Arabidopsis thaliana: one gene and its partner. The protein of the gene in region 1 interacts with the protein of each later gene in a pairwise test. Each region holds a gene or a part of one and is shown in the gene's direction. Other genes may lie near its edges.

Evidence for each region. Proteins that work in one complex are often made in the same cells at the same time.
Region 2: the proteins of AT5G01380 (region 1) and AT1G24040 interact in a two-hybrid assay, tested with the Arabidopsis thaliana proteins (one large-scale study listed by BioGRID).

The regions. Positions count from the first base shown.
Region 1 is NC_003076.8:153,910-160,991, reverse strand, and holds AT5G01380 (Homeodomain-like superfamily protein), read left to right. Parts: upstream 1-3,390; 5' UTR 3,391-3,540; coding exon 3,541-3,876; intron 3,877-4,572; coding exon 4,573-5,208; 3' UTR 5,209-5,382; downstream 5,383-7,082. Other genes in the region: AT5G01390 (DNAJ heat shock family protein), read left to right, coding at 54-492; ACI1 (ALC-interacting protein 1), read right to left, coding at 6,697-7,031. UniProt on the Arabidopsis thaliana protein: Probable transcription factor that binds specifically to the core DNA sequence 5'-GTTAC-3'.
Region 2 is NC_003070.9:8,502,149-8,510,681, reverse strand, and holds AT1G24040 (Acyl-CoA N-acyltransferases (NAT) superfamily protein), read left to right. Parts: upstream 1-3,886; 5' UTR 3,887-3,928; coding exon 3,929-4,888; 3' UTR 4,889-4,894; exon of another isoform or gene 4,895-4,990; 3' UTR 4,991-5,069; intron 5,070-5,221; exon of another isoform or gene 5,222-5,486; coding exon of another isoform or gene 5,487-5,726; intron 5,727-5,810; coding exon of another isoform or gene 5,811-5,951; intron 5,952-6,104; coding exon of another isoform or gene 6,105-6,254; intron 6,255-6,343; coding exon of another isoform or gene 6,344-6,507; intron 6,508-6,575; coding exon of another isoform or gene 6,576-6,774; 3' UTR 6,775-6,892; downstream 6,893-8,533. Other genes in the region: AT1G24062 (Cysteine-rich protein), read left to right, coding at 1-180; AT1G24060 (uncharacterized protein), read left to right, coding at 626-946; AT1G24050 (RNA-processing, Lsm domain-containing protein), read right to left, coding at 2,243-2,284, 2,416-2,539, 3,024-3,104, 3,200-3,365, 3,472-3,625; AT1G24030 (Protein kinase superfamily protein), read right to left, coding at 5,487-5,726, 5,829-5,951, 6,150-6,254, 6,344-6,507, 6,576-6,774, 6,893-7,080, 7,180-7,288. UniProt on the Arabidopsis thaliana protein: Protein acetyltransferase with dual specificity triggering both N-alpha-acetylation (NTA), with a large spectrum of modified N-termini, including methionine, alanine, serine and to a lower extent threonine and valine as substrates, and epsilon-lysine acetylation (KA).

The DNA.
Region 1 (7,082 bases):
TTTATTTTCTACGTTCTTCTACTGACAAAACCTCTGTTTATCCTTTAATGCAGGAGGCCAACACCGGTTGAGGAGATCTTGACGATAGAAATTAAACCCGGTTGGAAAAAAGGAACAAAGATAACCTTCCTGGAAAAAGGTAATGAGCATCGTGGAGTCATACCATCCGATCTCGTTTTCATCGTAGACGAGAAACCGCATCCCGTTTTCAAACGAGACGGGAATGATCTTGTGGTAATGCAAAAGATTTCTCTAGTGGATGCTCTCACAGGTTACACCGCACAGGTCACTACTCTTGACGGAAGAACCTTAACAGTTCCGGTAAACAATGTGATCAGTCCGTCGTACGAAGAGGTGGTGAAAGGAGAAGGCATGCCGATCCCTAAAGATCCGTCAAGAAAAGGAAACTTGAGAATCAGATTCATCATCAAGTTCCCTTCGAAGCTAACCACTGAGCAGAAATCAGGGATCAAGCGGATGTTATCACCTTGAATGTCCAAAGATTGAAGCATCTCGTTTCAGTTTTTTCAATCTGCTAGCTTTTTTGGAATCTTTTAGAAGCAGAATATGTGCTTATGGTTTTTTTAATTTATTTTGGTTGCATTTTGGTAAGGTTTTTAAGGGAAATACATACCACCAAATGATGCCGGTTTAGTTAGTAATGACTGACGACTAGTGAAGTAAAGTCTCTCCTTATATCTCTTTGCTAAAAGCTTCAATATTTGTTTAATAGTAAACATTGTCAACAGATTTGGAAAGACTAAATCAACGTTTAACAATATGTCAAAATGTAATTCAAATTGATTAATCATAGTAGCGAAATTTGAAGAACCTTTTTCTTTTGTTGATTAAAAAATCCAAATCTCTACGTTTTTCTCACATTCTTCAATCTTCTTGACCTTGTCCCGTTTAATTCCTTCACTAAAATCTTTTCAACCCTCACGTGCTGATGTTGACATGGAATAATTGTTGTTACTTGTCAAATAATAAGAAGAAGAAAAAACAGACTAATGTATGTTCCTCTTTGATTGTTCTGGTTAGGCAAATTACTTGCATATCTCCACATGTACGAATTAGTAATATTCATTCATAAAGTTAGTATGATTTATAGATTCAAAAAAATAAACACAGATCGAGTTTAGTTTAGTCAAATATTTGAATGTTTTCAAGAACAAGAAGAGTTTCTGCAATCAACTGAAATATCATTTTCATGGTCTTGGTTCAAAACCAGCAGTATTACAAACAGTGAGAAAGGTTTTTGGTATTTGTAACAACAATGTATTGTTGCAGTGACTCCAAATTCAAAAATGGAAGTCATGTGCATTCACCAAGTTACGGCAAAAGTAAAAGACTAAACTTATTACTATTTCCGAATAATCCGGAGCGATACCCTAAACAACATTCACCTCAAAAGTTCTAAATAACACGAATAGGCTGATTTTTGTATATATGCTTTTGGCTGACGTTTTTTTTTTGTTCTTTGCTTTAAGACTTCAATTCTTTTAAGCAAAAATTTGGATGGGAAATAAAAAGGATGATGAGGTGGCCTACTTGTATTGAGCGGATAAACATCAGCCAACAAAAATCTTTGTTAAAATAAAAAGTGAAAGACAGAGAGAGAGATGGCCACGTGGACAAACATGGTGGGCGTTTACACGTGGAATATAACAACACTCCGCGTTGCTGATTATTTGATTCCATTTAAATAAAATTAAAAAATACTGATTATTCTTTCTTTTGTTCACAGAAAATTCCTTCATTCACAATTTCTCTTTTAAATAATTAAAGACCACAAATTTTGAACATAAGAATTAGAAAAATTAAAGATCATTCACTAGAGTAGTCGACATTATTATTAATTTAGTATAAATAAATAAGGTGTGAATCCACGTGGGATGACAGGTGGGAGCGAAGTCTAGTGCATGTCATGTAAGATTTTGATTTACTTTCAACACGCTTCATCGCTATTTGGACCACTTCGCTGACTTTTTTTTGTTTTTTTTTTTACTACTGAGTAGTACTAGTATTTCTTACACATATCAGAGCCAAAAATACAACCCCGACGAATCTTTCTTTAGATACAAATAAAAAATATTTACTCCTACAAGTTTCATTCACCGTACGTTTTACTTGTTATATCATTGCAATGACGCGGCTTCTAAATATGTACTACCATATGTGTGTTTGGGAATCTGACAGTTGTATATTGCACTGGATCCAAACCATTTCAGAACAAGAGTACATTTTCTCTGTTCGTACGCATTATTTGTTTTGTGCCGACTGCGAATATAACGATTTCCATTTATTCATATACTAAATATCATACAATCCATAAATGAATAGTCTTCTTTTTTTCTTGGGGGAATTTACAATTCCAATCAAATTAATTTCTTAGCTAATCATAACGGTAGTCTTGTTTTCTGTAACTTAATTCTTCTTCTTTTTTATTTTGATAGGAACGTTAGGTATCTATTATGTAAAACTTGCTAACAACAATTCTCTAATTCTTTGTTTATATCTGATCTCTTCCTCCATGACACGGGGCTAATCTAAACTTCTAAAAGCATATTGATCCAATAGCTTATTTAATATATTTTGTCTGTCAACCATTAGGTTACTTTTGTTACGATGAATTTTTCAAAAGAAAAATACAAGAATTATGGGATGAGGAAAATCTAGTGGGTCAATTGACCATAAAGGCTAAATCGGATTGAAGAATAAAAATCGGATTGTGACTCGTAACTCGTAAGCGTGACGAAATATTAACGCAACATTTATATGTATTGGGACAAATTATTAACGAATAACTACCAAATGCAAAAAATACGAGACAGTTGAGTACTTGAGCTTGGTCACAAAATCATCATCAAGGAAAAACAATAACCATACAGTAAAAATATAGTTCTACAACTTTACAAATTTGAAAGCGTGTTTAGAATGATGCACACAAATAATCAATCTGTCAAAAAAAAACATATTGTTTGATTTTACTCTAAGATTAAGGCGATTGTTTTTACTTAAGATATTCTTAACTGATGCAAGTTACCCCTGTAATTGTTTGAGATTGCTATTTTTAAACTCTAGAATACGAAGAAAAAAAAAGTATGAATTATTTAGTTAGCTGCTTTAAATCTAGAGTTTATCATCCGAAAAAGGGATATCTAAGCTTTATTATTTTTAATGTAATCACGAATTGTGTCCTTTTCACCAAAAGAGTCATTCGTGTTCGTATTTTATTCAACTAAATAATTCTATAAGTTCTAGTATATTCAATAATTATTAAAAAATCTCATCTTAATAATTTTAATTAGAGAAAAGAACAAAAAACTACACTTCTATCGTCCCTCTACGATTTCACACCTTCTTTTCACACATCCTTATAAATTAATTAGATTCTTCTCTTTTCTCTCCTTCCTCTCTGTCTTCTCTTCTTTTTTTCAATGAAACCTCTCTTCATTTATAAGTAACCCAACAAAAAAATAAAATTATCTCCCTCTTATTTCTTCTCTTCACGTCACAAAGACAATTCGATTCCAAATAATGGACCGACGTAACCCTTTCCAACATCACCACCACCACCATCAGCTTCATCATCACTTGATCCAACAGCAACAGCTTCCTCCGCCGCCGCTGAGCACCACGGCGACGATGGATCCCGGCGGAGGAGGAGGAGGTGGGGAGAGAATCCCACAGTGGAGCATAGAGGAGACAAAGGAGCTTTTGGCTATAAGAGAAGAACTTGATCAAACTTTCATGGAGACCAAACGTAATAAGCTTCTTTGGGAAGTCGTGGCTGCTAAGATGGCCGACAAGGGTTTTGTCCGAAGCGCAGAACAATGTAAGAGCAAGTGGAAGAACCTCGTCACTAGATACAAGGTTACCCTTCAACTCTTTAGAATCCTATTGATGATTCTCTCTATATATAGTCCCGATATATACACCTATAAATGTTTAGTATGATCATGATTACAAGTATATACAAACTATAATTATGTGTATCATGTATTTCATCACTAGTTTGTGTGGTTAGACTGATATTATGCATATTGAAATGGAAACCTAGTTTATGGTGTATGTATAGGTGAACTACATTATATATACATCAATTAATGAGCTTAACCTAATCGCCTAGGTTTTTTAGATATTGTCCTGTCATTAATGGTAACGAGCTATAGAATAGAATTTTACGCGTTTATTGGTGAGCTTTCATCATGATATTGTCTATGTTCACATTTTGATCCGTTATACCATAATATCTCTCTTTTTGTTCGTTGATCACATGGTAAGTAAGTAACACAATATGCCATAAAAATATAATTACCGTTATATAACGGGTGCATAAGATTTAATAAGAACCGTTACTGATGAACACATGAAGATAGTTGAAAAAGTCTATACACACATTTATTTAAGGTAAAAGAAACGTGATATAGATGATGAACATGTGTTTTTGTTTTCCTATGATATATGATTTCGAGTTAAGATACTTGGTTAGCTAAAATATTTTGCGTCGGTACTATTACGTGTTTACATATAATTGTTTATATAACATAATGAATATTCATGGGACAGGCGTGTGAGACCACTGAGCCAGATGCTATTAGGCAGCAGTTCCCATTCTACAATGAGATTCAGTCGATTTTTGAAGCAAGAATGCAAAGAATGCTGTGGTCAGAAGCCACAGAACCAAGCACTTCCTCGAAGAGAAAACATCATCAATTTTCATCTGATGATGAAGAAGAAGAAGTTGACGAACCAAATCAAGATATCAACGAGGAATTATTGTCTTTAGTAGAGACACAGAAAAGAGAGACAGAAGTGATTACTACTAGTACTTCGACCAATCCAAGAAAACGTGCAAAAAAAGGAAAAGGCGTTGCGAGTGGTACGAAAGCTGAAACTGCGGGTAATACACTAAAAGATATATTGGAGGAGTTTATGAGGCAAACGGTGAAGATGGAAAAGGAATGGAGAGATGCATGGGAGATGAAGGAGATAGAGAGGGAGAAGAGAGAGAAAGAGTGGCGGAGGAGAATGGCGGAGCTAGAGGAGGAAAGAGCCGCCACAGAAAGGAGGTGGATGGAGAGAGAGGAAGAGAGACGGTTGAGAGAAGAAGCTAGGGCTCAGAAGAGAGATTCTCTCATCGATGCTTTGCTTAATAGGCTTAATAGAGATCATAATGATGATCATCATAATCAAGGTTTCTAAGTTCTCATTATTTGTGTTAAGCATAAGTTAATTAGCTAGTTAATTTGTTAGGCAAATCAATTTAGATAATATATCTAAATTAATGTTTGTTTTATAATATTTATATGAACTATTGAAATTTCCAAAAAGAAAGATAAATGTTCAAATTTTGATATATGTTATCGTGGTATGAAAATGAATTTATCCTTCTAAAAACAAAAAAAATCCTGGTGGAGAAAAATAAACCTTCAATATTAGAGGAAGAAAAATAAATAGAGAGGGAGTAAAACGAGCAGGCAATTACTAAATATAATATAAGGTAACATGTGAATTAACTAAACGATAAGAATAAGAATTAATAAATCATTTAATAGTTTACGTACATGCATAAAACAATTGTATAGATATTAATTAGATATGCTAGTTTGAATTATATTGTTCATAGTTATAGGTGTCCAAAACCAAATTGGTTGAATACTTTTAGCTACTTTATTCTGTTAATAAGAATATTTCATAACGATTAATCAGGCGATAAACAAGAATTAAACAAAAGTCTTTATTCCAAAACTTTCAATTCACATTTGTCCCACATTACTTCACCGCGTTATTTGTGTGATATATAAAACTTATTTTGTTCATAAGTAAATTGTAAAGAAAGAATTTGTTATTTTTATTCTTTTCTTCTCTTGCAAGACAGCTACCAACAGATAAAAATACCGAAAACATGAAACCGTGTTATAACGCGTTCACACTAATATATCCGTTCATTTTAAAAAACACGTATTACTAATACGCCGCGTCAGCTCAATTGTATAGAGCCGTGTGACCAACTCTGTGAGGTCACCAGTTCGAATACAAGGACCTTCAATATTTACCACTTTTTCGTTGGCAAAAAAATAGTTTATGACTAAATGAAATAATTATAATTCGAAACTTAAATAATTTAGAGTGGGAAAATGTTCTTGAATTTTACATGTGAACCCCCCAAAAAAAACACAGAAAAGTACAAAAAAACGTCAAAGAAGTAACGTTAGAAGGAGACCATGATTTGCATGTGAAATAGACATAAAGGAGACAGTACGTATTTCGAAGTTACGGAGCTCTCCAAAATTCAGAAGAAAACCGATTTGACCGTTTTTGGACCCACTACATGTATTTATAATGCATTTGATAATTCGTCATATCGAATTTGAATTTAATTTCATTCTTATGATCGAGTATTCGAGTCACTAAGATTATCCTTGTGCTTATTTGGTGATATTCGCCATATACATACTTGTGTTTTGGATAGGTATATTTGTCTATAGGACTATTTAAGACGAGTACATTATAGTCTTTAGTACTAATCATAAATGTTAACCATAATTTTTCTGGTCAATAACTTATATTGGCCGCATAACACTTTTAGAAAATATGGAGTGATGAAAATTTCGATTGTTGTGAGTCTCTGGTTAACATTTGGATTACAAGATTTTAAAACGACATATTTCTGATAATTGGGAATTTAAACTAGATACAGAGTTCATCAACTAGCTGGTCCATAACAAGGTCAAGAATCTCTTGACCAAATTCGACACAAAAATCTTCGACCTGAGTAAAGTCAACGGGTTTAGTTGACGAAGTAGAAACCCAAGTGGAAGACTTCATGTCTTCTTCAGACAGATCTGAGAGCATATTCATTAGTTTTGTGATAAACTCTGTCTCTTCTGAATCATTGTTGGTGCTATTGTTGTTTTCTTTCTTGGTACTTGTTTTTGTTTTTGCTGGTGATGAAGAACATGAAGATTTTGTTGCTGTCTCTACTTGCTTTGTTGACAACTCCGATGCACTTTCTGAATCTCCTCCTGTTTTATTTTTCAAATTAAAGTGACGTTTAAAATATGATTGGGCAAATA
Region 2 (8,533 bases), on another chromosome or scaffold:
GAAAATTGTAACGCGACATTTCAAGATCCAGAATGTAACAAATGGTGTGCATTATTGGCTTATAAAGATGGTAGCTGCCTATATCCTCCTTCTGAGGTTGATGATCTTCCCCCTATTAAACGACCTTACATTCCTCGTTGTTGTTGTAATCCTATTACTCTTTCACCTCCTTCTCCTTGATTAATATATATTTTATTTTATTTTACGTACCTACAATGAATAAAGAGATAAATAATCTTCTTTTGAATAGAAAAACCAAATATTCAATTCGGTTCAATTCAGAAACATTATGAAGTTCATAACCAGATCGAACCAAAATTTATTTTATGTTTTAATTCACACCAAAGTTAATCATCCACTTAAGTTATCAAAAATTTAAAACATAAAATAACTTGGAAGATCTAGATTTTAAGTTGCAAACACACAAAAAAATTGAATCTCTCCCTGGCATTATTATCAAAGTCTTCCTCCTAACCATGAATCTCTCCTTACCTTTAGAATTCTGCTAAACTTCAACTCGCAATTCTGCTAAACAACAAAACATCACATTATGAATTAACTCTGAAGTTACTAGTCTCTTTGTAGAGTTGATGAAGCTAGTCTCATTTCAAAGGTGTAGGGACTCATGAAAAAACACCCGAATCTTCTTCTTGGTTTCAGCGTCTACCTTTCAGCTGGGACTAAGCTAACCATCCCTCCCGAGGCTGAGCAACATACTGCGCCATCTGATAATAACAAACGAAAACGTGCTAAGTGTGATGATCCATCGATGATCAAGATTACGTCTGAAAATAACAAAAGAACACGTGCAACGTGTGATGATCCATGGATGATCACGATAACGTCTGATAATAACAAAAGAAAACGTGCTAAGTACTGTGATGATCCAGATTATGATCCGGATTATGTGAAGAAGCTTAAGGTATATAAAGTGCTCAAATTATAAACTAATCCAAAGAAAATACCATTTTGGTCATTCTTGTTTTGATAAGTACTTGTTGTGAGTCTCCATCGAAGAAGCGAAAGAGGAAAGGAAAGAATGTGTCTCCACCTAAGAAAAAGGGGAAACTTAGCAAGCGCACAATACATTGTAATAAATGTGGTCAAGCAGGGCACAATTCTCGTTCATGTGGTAAGAGAGCTCTTCAGGTTAGTCTCTTTTCATCTTGAGTTCAGTAATGTTACACTGTTGCTGTGGTGGTGTCTTCTTGCTGGTAAATGGTTGTGTTTTCAGGCTTGTGTTAGTAGTGGATTGCTAAAGAAAGCAACTCAATCTCAGCGAAATACTCAACAAGTAGAAGATTAGAAGCAAGTGTGTGGATTGTTTCCTTTGGCTTCTTAGTAGGGTTTTTGTTGCCTTCTTAATAATTTTTGTGGCTCATAGTTTAGTGGTGTTTTGCACTAAAGATAGGTTAAGGTTTTGGTGATAAGTATCTGTTAGAAGCAGAACTCTCGCGTCGATCTATGATACTTATAAGTTCCAATGTTGAATTAACACATTGTCTTACTAGTTTTTGGATTCAATTTACAACATTCTTAAAGCTTTGATTCAAATGATATCAAGCAACCTGAGTGATCATTGTTATATCTCCATCTCCTCATGCAAGCGCTTATCCAGAGTTAGCTTAGTCGTAACGTAAAATTTCATTCGCATGTAGCATCAATGTTGGTTTCTAATCAACAAGTTAGCTCACGCTTGATCACCCAAACGCAAAGTAGTTGTGTCCATAGTTGTATATGTTGTGTATCGAATAAGATGGTTTTATACATCACCACGGTCTATTATGATCATCATTGGAATCTATACACAGTTCAATACTAACAATCAACAGAAAAATATTTCTTATAACTTTTGCATTGATCAAGGAACTCAGTTCTAGAGCACACGAGATGTAAAAATCTACCGGAGAAGTCACTAAAAAGTAGTTCAACATTTCAGAATAGTTTACAGTTCCAGGCGATAAATAAACCAAGCCCTGGTAAAAAGTGGACAAGACAAGACCTCACTGTTCTTGTCAATAACCAGGGTGAAATTAGTCCAAATTTCAATCCCTGTAAGGCTGTAACTCAAGAAATCTCTAATCTGCTTTTACAAGGACAAGCAGATTCTAAGTAAAGACAACAACATGCGAAAAGCAAACATATCCGCTTTTCGCTGGTCGATCAGATCTATAGACGCCTTTCGGGTTAGTAGCAACGAACCCTTTCTCGCTATTTCACTGACCGACTCTTTTCACTAGCCTCATGTGCCAAAGAGTTGCAACCTTCGTCTTTCCAGCTCAAGCTGCGATAAAAGCAAAATTGCATTACTATCACACCCAAGGCTTGATCAACGTTACACGATTGAATGCAAATGACTAATATAACACCAGAGGCTTAATTGGCATTACACAATGAACTGAAAGTGACGCTTACCACTTTCTTGACTCGGTTGTTGGCAGCATCAGTTCCTCCAAAGACACAATCTGAAAGATACGGGCTACGAACGCGTACCTCTTTCATCACCAGAATGTCTGAGTTTTCCCATTGCACAGGAAGCCTAAAAGGAAAATAATTCACATGTGATTCATTCGAAAGAGAAAAAGCAAATTCAAACAAAGAAAGTTTAAGGATTTATGTAGTCTAAAACTATGTATCTAGACAGCTTCTTAACTGTATCAGTATCACAAAGAAGACTAAAGATACTTGACACTAGAGCCCACAACATATGTAATCTACAACAACCACAAACATAGAAACTTTACATATATATAGTTGCAAACTAGCATCACCGGAAACCAAGAGCAAAACAACACTAAATCATGTCCAGATCCTAACAATTTATCTTTGGGAATAACACATTAGACGCACAAAACAAAATCCTCCAACCCAAGCAATTGTTTACAAAGAACTAATAGTTCAACTAAACAACATTAGATTACGATCTCGTCCCACCTCTCTACCGTATACTCTAAGCTGTGTTTCCTTCTTAGAGATTAGCTTATTTTTCGATCCGAAAACGTATAAAAAGAGAAGATCCTTACGTCTTAGACAACGCGTCGAAGATGCTCTGAGCCTCAGCGGTAACACCAACTCCCATTCTTTCAGCATCTGCTTCCGCTTGCCTGTGCTCAATACGTTTTCCCAAGTAAGCTCAAAACAAGCAAATAGCAATAAAAATTGCATTTTGAAAGGATTCAACAACAAAATATCTTATCACCTGATAGCAAGTGCCTCTTTAGCTCGGAGACCATTAAGATCAACAGAAAAGTTGTCTGAATCAAGTGGATCTTCAGTTTTGCCTAAATACGAAAGCCCTGTAATAAAACTCGCATTCACCATCCGAGTGTTCTTCAAATGCCCAGGTCTAGGTTTTGTACCCTCTTGTAATAACCAATAACTCGTCAAGGATAACACAATTCAGGTCAAGACATTGAAAATACCTAAATCTCAAATTTTGATGAAACAAACAATTAAAGAAATTAAGGATATCAAAAAAGACGAAGTTGGGGATGGGGTCGTAAGCCATGACGATCCCTCTGAACTCATCTCCGGTGATCACCTTCACTGAATAAATATTCCCCACCGCGAATTTCTCTCCTTCTCCTCCGATTGCGCTGGCCACCGATGCTCCTGCTGGATCCATGGCGGCCGTCCTCGCTCCTCCTCCGTCTTCTGAAATCGCCGAACTTCGGAAAAATTAAAACTATATATATCGCAATATGGGCCTTAAGCCCAAATAGCTACTGGCTTATAACAGTTTCCTCATTTTTATATCAGTATATGGGCCATAAGGGCCCAATAACTACTGAGCTTCATGATTAGTTCAAAACGCGGCGTTTTAAAGATTAGTGTATGACTGTTACTTTATCCATTTTATTTCGTTATAAACAGATTAGCGAACACTGAACCACAATCAAATCGGAGAAAATCGTGTGTGTGTGTGTCAATGGCGGCTTTAAGCATCTCACTAGCTTTCTCTGTTGATTCTCTCAAACCAACCCAATCAACGAAGTTTGGCTTCTCGTCTTCTTCACATAGATATCCATTACTCTACTCGTGTAAATCTCACCGCTCCAATCTCAGATTCGCTTTCCCTCCTTCTTCAGTTTCGACAGCTACAGAAACTGGAGAAGAAAACTCTAAATCGACCGGGAATTACGCGTTTCTAGAGGAATCGTTTCGTACCGGGAGGTTTTTGAGTAACGATGAGTTAGAGAAGCTTAAAACTCTTGAAGGATTTGCGTATTTTCAAGAGCTTGAATCTGGATCGATGTGGGTTCGAGTTATGAGACATGAAGAGATGGATTCAACGGTGCATCTATTGGCTGAGTCATTTGGTGAATCGATGTTATTACCTTCTGGTTATCAGTCTGTGTTACGGTTTTTGATTAAGCAGTATTTGATTGAGAGAAGAGAAGTGTTGCCACACGCAGTTACTTTAGTTGGTTTCTTTAGGAAAAAAGTTGATGAGTTTAGTGATGATGGAGAGGAGGAGGCTGTGATGGCTGGAACTGTTGAGGTTTGTTTGGAGAAACGAGGCGCTAATGCTTCTCCTCCTTCTCCAACTCCTCCTAAGGAATCACCTTATATCTGTAACATGACTGTCAAAGAGGATCTTAGAAGGAGAGGAATTGGGTGGCATTTGTTGAAGGCGAGTGAGGAACTGATATCTCAGATTAGTCCATCAAAAGATGTATACTTGCATTGTAGGATGGTTGATGAGGCTCCTTTCAATATGTACAAGAAGGCAGGATACGAGGTTGTTAAGACAGATACAGTTTTGGTCCTTCTGATGTTACAGCGGCGTAAGCATTTGATGCGGAAGAAACTTCTTCCACTATGCACCAATCCTATAGTAGAAATGGTGGGGTCTGATAATGAGCTGACCTCCTCTGCAAATGTGTAAACATGGGTACAGTTTTTCCATCAGTGTACCAATTAGCTTTTAGTCTTCTTCTCAACCTTTTCTGAATTTATAACAAACATTGTGATTGGCTTTATTATGTAGGAGCTAAATGTGACATGACCAAGGGTCGGGTTGATAATCCCGTTTGCTTCGACCTATTGTTTATATGATCTTAGTAGAGGTACTCCACACACACTCTTATCTTTGTTATCTGCTTCCTGTATTGGCAGCGATTGTATTTCTTGTTCATAGACATGTGGTTAATTCTTTAGGCATTAGGCGAAAGAAGGAAAGAAAAAACAAGACTACACCCCTGAATTTATGTACTCATTTCTCTTAAAGCAAAACATTCATAGCAGCAAATACAACATACTATACGGATACATCTAGTGCTTGATTTTCTTAGTGAAATTATAGTATATATATCCAAATAATATCGCTTGATCAAAGTTTCCTAGCTGGAAGTTGAATTGAAATTATCCGGTAATTCATAATTAGTATTGTTTGTTTATATTTATCAAGTGTTTTTTTATCAGTGACCTCTCATTTTAGGAAAAATGACAGTAATCCATTTTACTTGTTTCGAAGAATTCAGTGTCTAGAGCCTTCTGAATGTAGGAATCGTCCCACCCAAACCACCCTTCGAGTTTGTGTAGATAATTAGTTGCAGTTCCTTAACACAATCCATCACTGAAGGTCGCTCTTTACTCTCTATACGGATGCACCGTGATGCTAGATCAGCAAACATGGTTATAGCTTCCATGCTGTATGAATTCCGAGGCAGCTCGACATCTATAACCTTACGCAATTTCTTTCTATCATTCAGTATATTCCTAACCTGAAACGTAGAGATAATTGATCAGTTTATTCCTATGTTAAGTTTCCTGATCTTTGAACTTTTTGTGTTTGTGAATCATAGAACCTAAAAGGTCCATTTTACCTGTAGCACCAGGTTCTGTTCATTTGGGCCCTGAGTTAAGTCAACTGCTCTGCGTCCAGTAAGTAGTTCTAGCAGCACAACCCCAAATGCATAAATGTCGCTTTGTAGAGTAAGTTTACCTGTCTGCCACAGAAGAAGGGAACAAAAATTATGCTAAAAATTGTCCTCCGTTGCCTATTGGCTCTGATATGTGAGTGTGATTAAAGTTCCTTTTCCAGGCTATTTTATGTCATTACTAGCAAGTTTTAATTTTTCTTAAGTAGTGTCTAGTTTACCCTATCGGAAGAGAATCATGTGTGAAATATAAGTAAGAATCTTTACCGATGTATATTCTGGGTCGAAATAGCCGAATGTTCCTAGAACTCTTGCTGTGACACAAGTATCCTTTCCTTCTGGCATCAACTTTGCTAGTCCAAAGTCGGATATCTGCAAGGATTACACTCACATCTTAGTTTTAGTCTATGCTTGGTATTAGTGCTGCATAAACCCTCCATTTCTATTAACTGTATAAGAACCTTTGCATTATAATTGGAGTCTAGTAGAACGTTGGTGGATTTGAAGTCTCTGTGAACAATTGGAATCCCAACAGAAGAACTTGAATGGAGATACGCGAGTCCTTTTGCTGCTCCTAGTGCAATTCTGAGCCTTATTGGCCAGCTTATTTTTGCTTCTTTGATTCCTGTGATAAAGACGCGGTTTAGTCGCCAATTGGTTTTAGTGGATTGGGCTCTTATTTTGTTGACTTACCATTCAAATGATCTTGCAGGTTTCCATTTTGCATATATTCATATACTAGGAACCGGTGTTTCCCATCTGCACAATAGCCGATCAAAGAGACCAGATTTGGGTGGTCGAGTCTGCTCAAGATATCCACCTCCACACGAAATTCTCTTTCTCCGTCAGCCTTTTTAAACGTAGGTAAATCCATCTTCTTGATTGCAACAACCTTCAAATAACAAGGGATTAAGATATGTATCCTACTCTAATAGCTCCTCTTCGATAGAAAAGTTTTTGTAACATTACAAAGCCTGTAAATCACATAAATGAAGCTATATAGTTCCTACCTCTCCTGTTTTTAAAGTGCCTTGGTAAACTCGGCCAAAGCCTCCTTTACCGAGGAGATTCTCATCACTGAAAGAACTTGTGGCCTCCTCCATCTCCTTGAGGGTATAAACTGATGACCCGAATCTTCGCTTCCTTGGCTGAGAAGCCTGATCTTCGATTTGCCAGCATTCTGCTGTTCTGTAGACCCCTGAGAAGAAGGTTAGTTTCAAACAGATGGTGATTCAGTTTTACCTAAACCCTTTATATTCAGTAGTAGTAATGTCGAAAAACAAAAACAGTAACATACTTTTATGCCATCTGGCGAAGATGATGGAGAAAAGGAACGTACATGGATCCGTATCATATGATTTGCTTCTCCTTCTCTTGTTCCAAGCCGAAACAAGTGGAAAATGCATAGCTTTAGTTTGGATTTGGTTTTTTCTTATCCTTTGTAGACCATTACAAAGCCGATAGAAGAAGCTTCTGGTCTCGTCCTTAAGACAGAAGGGTATGTGTCTTTCTAGTCGTGAAGATGTTCTTTGTAGTTAGTTGCTTCCAAAGAAACAGAAGATTGTTGTGGTTGAAGATGATAAATATAGAGTGCAATAAAGTTAATTGATTTTGAGGGTTAGGTTTCTGAAATACTCAACAGCAGTATTTCAACTACCGAAAGTTCAAGAGAGAGAGAAAGAGACGGTAGAGCTGAAGAATACGTAGATTACATGTACGTGAAGCAAAAGAAATTGAGAGCCATCTTGAGAAAGTAAAGACTTGATGTTTCCTTAACTTTTCTAAGCTCAAATTCTCGGTTTGGTTCTCTTGTCTGAATCTATCTCCTTCTAACCAGTTTGTGTACGTACGTATCTCTGTCGATCAAATAGAGATGGGAAGCTGCTTTCAGAGTGTTTCCTTACCCTTTTCGTCTCAACTTTTTTCTCTAGACTTCTATATTACTATTTACTAATGTTGTTTTCATAGTTCGTTGAGAGAGAGATTATAAAAGTTAAACTTTATAAGTGGAGAAAACCTATAATTTTCTTAAAGCAATCTTAGTTTTTTTTAATAAGATTGACAAATCCTAGGATACTGTAACTTTAACGTATCCAATTGTATATTAAGGATTTGGGTTCGGATGAACTTTTGCTTCGAATAGAAATGATGACTCATTCTTAGAACATTTTTATTTTACGATTGAAGAGTGGTTGTCGTTTTATATCAATGGAAACCAACATGCTGTTTTCTCGCACAATGGTGAAATCAAAGTACCTAACGATGAAGAAATTGTTTTGGCTTTATTGCATTGCACCTAACCATGCCAGTGCCACCAAGAAGATTATTGTAGAAAATAAAGAGGAAACATTCAGCTCTTTATGATTAGAAAGTTTTATTCTTATGAAATGCAATTTGCAATTATTAAGTTGTTATGTTTGACTAATTGTGTGACGTGAACGTTTACTGATTTATTTTTGATCAATGATAATACATTATTTATAACCATTTAAATCTCATCATGTTTCACATATTGGCCCACAGTTATTATGAGAGGTCGTAAATGAGAACCAATTATGTAAAATATGCTACTTCACTTACTTGGTTCTTCAGATCGATTGTGTGACATTACCATTGTTCAACAAAGAACCAAGTAAGTGATCTGAAAAAAT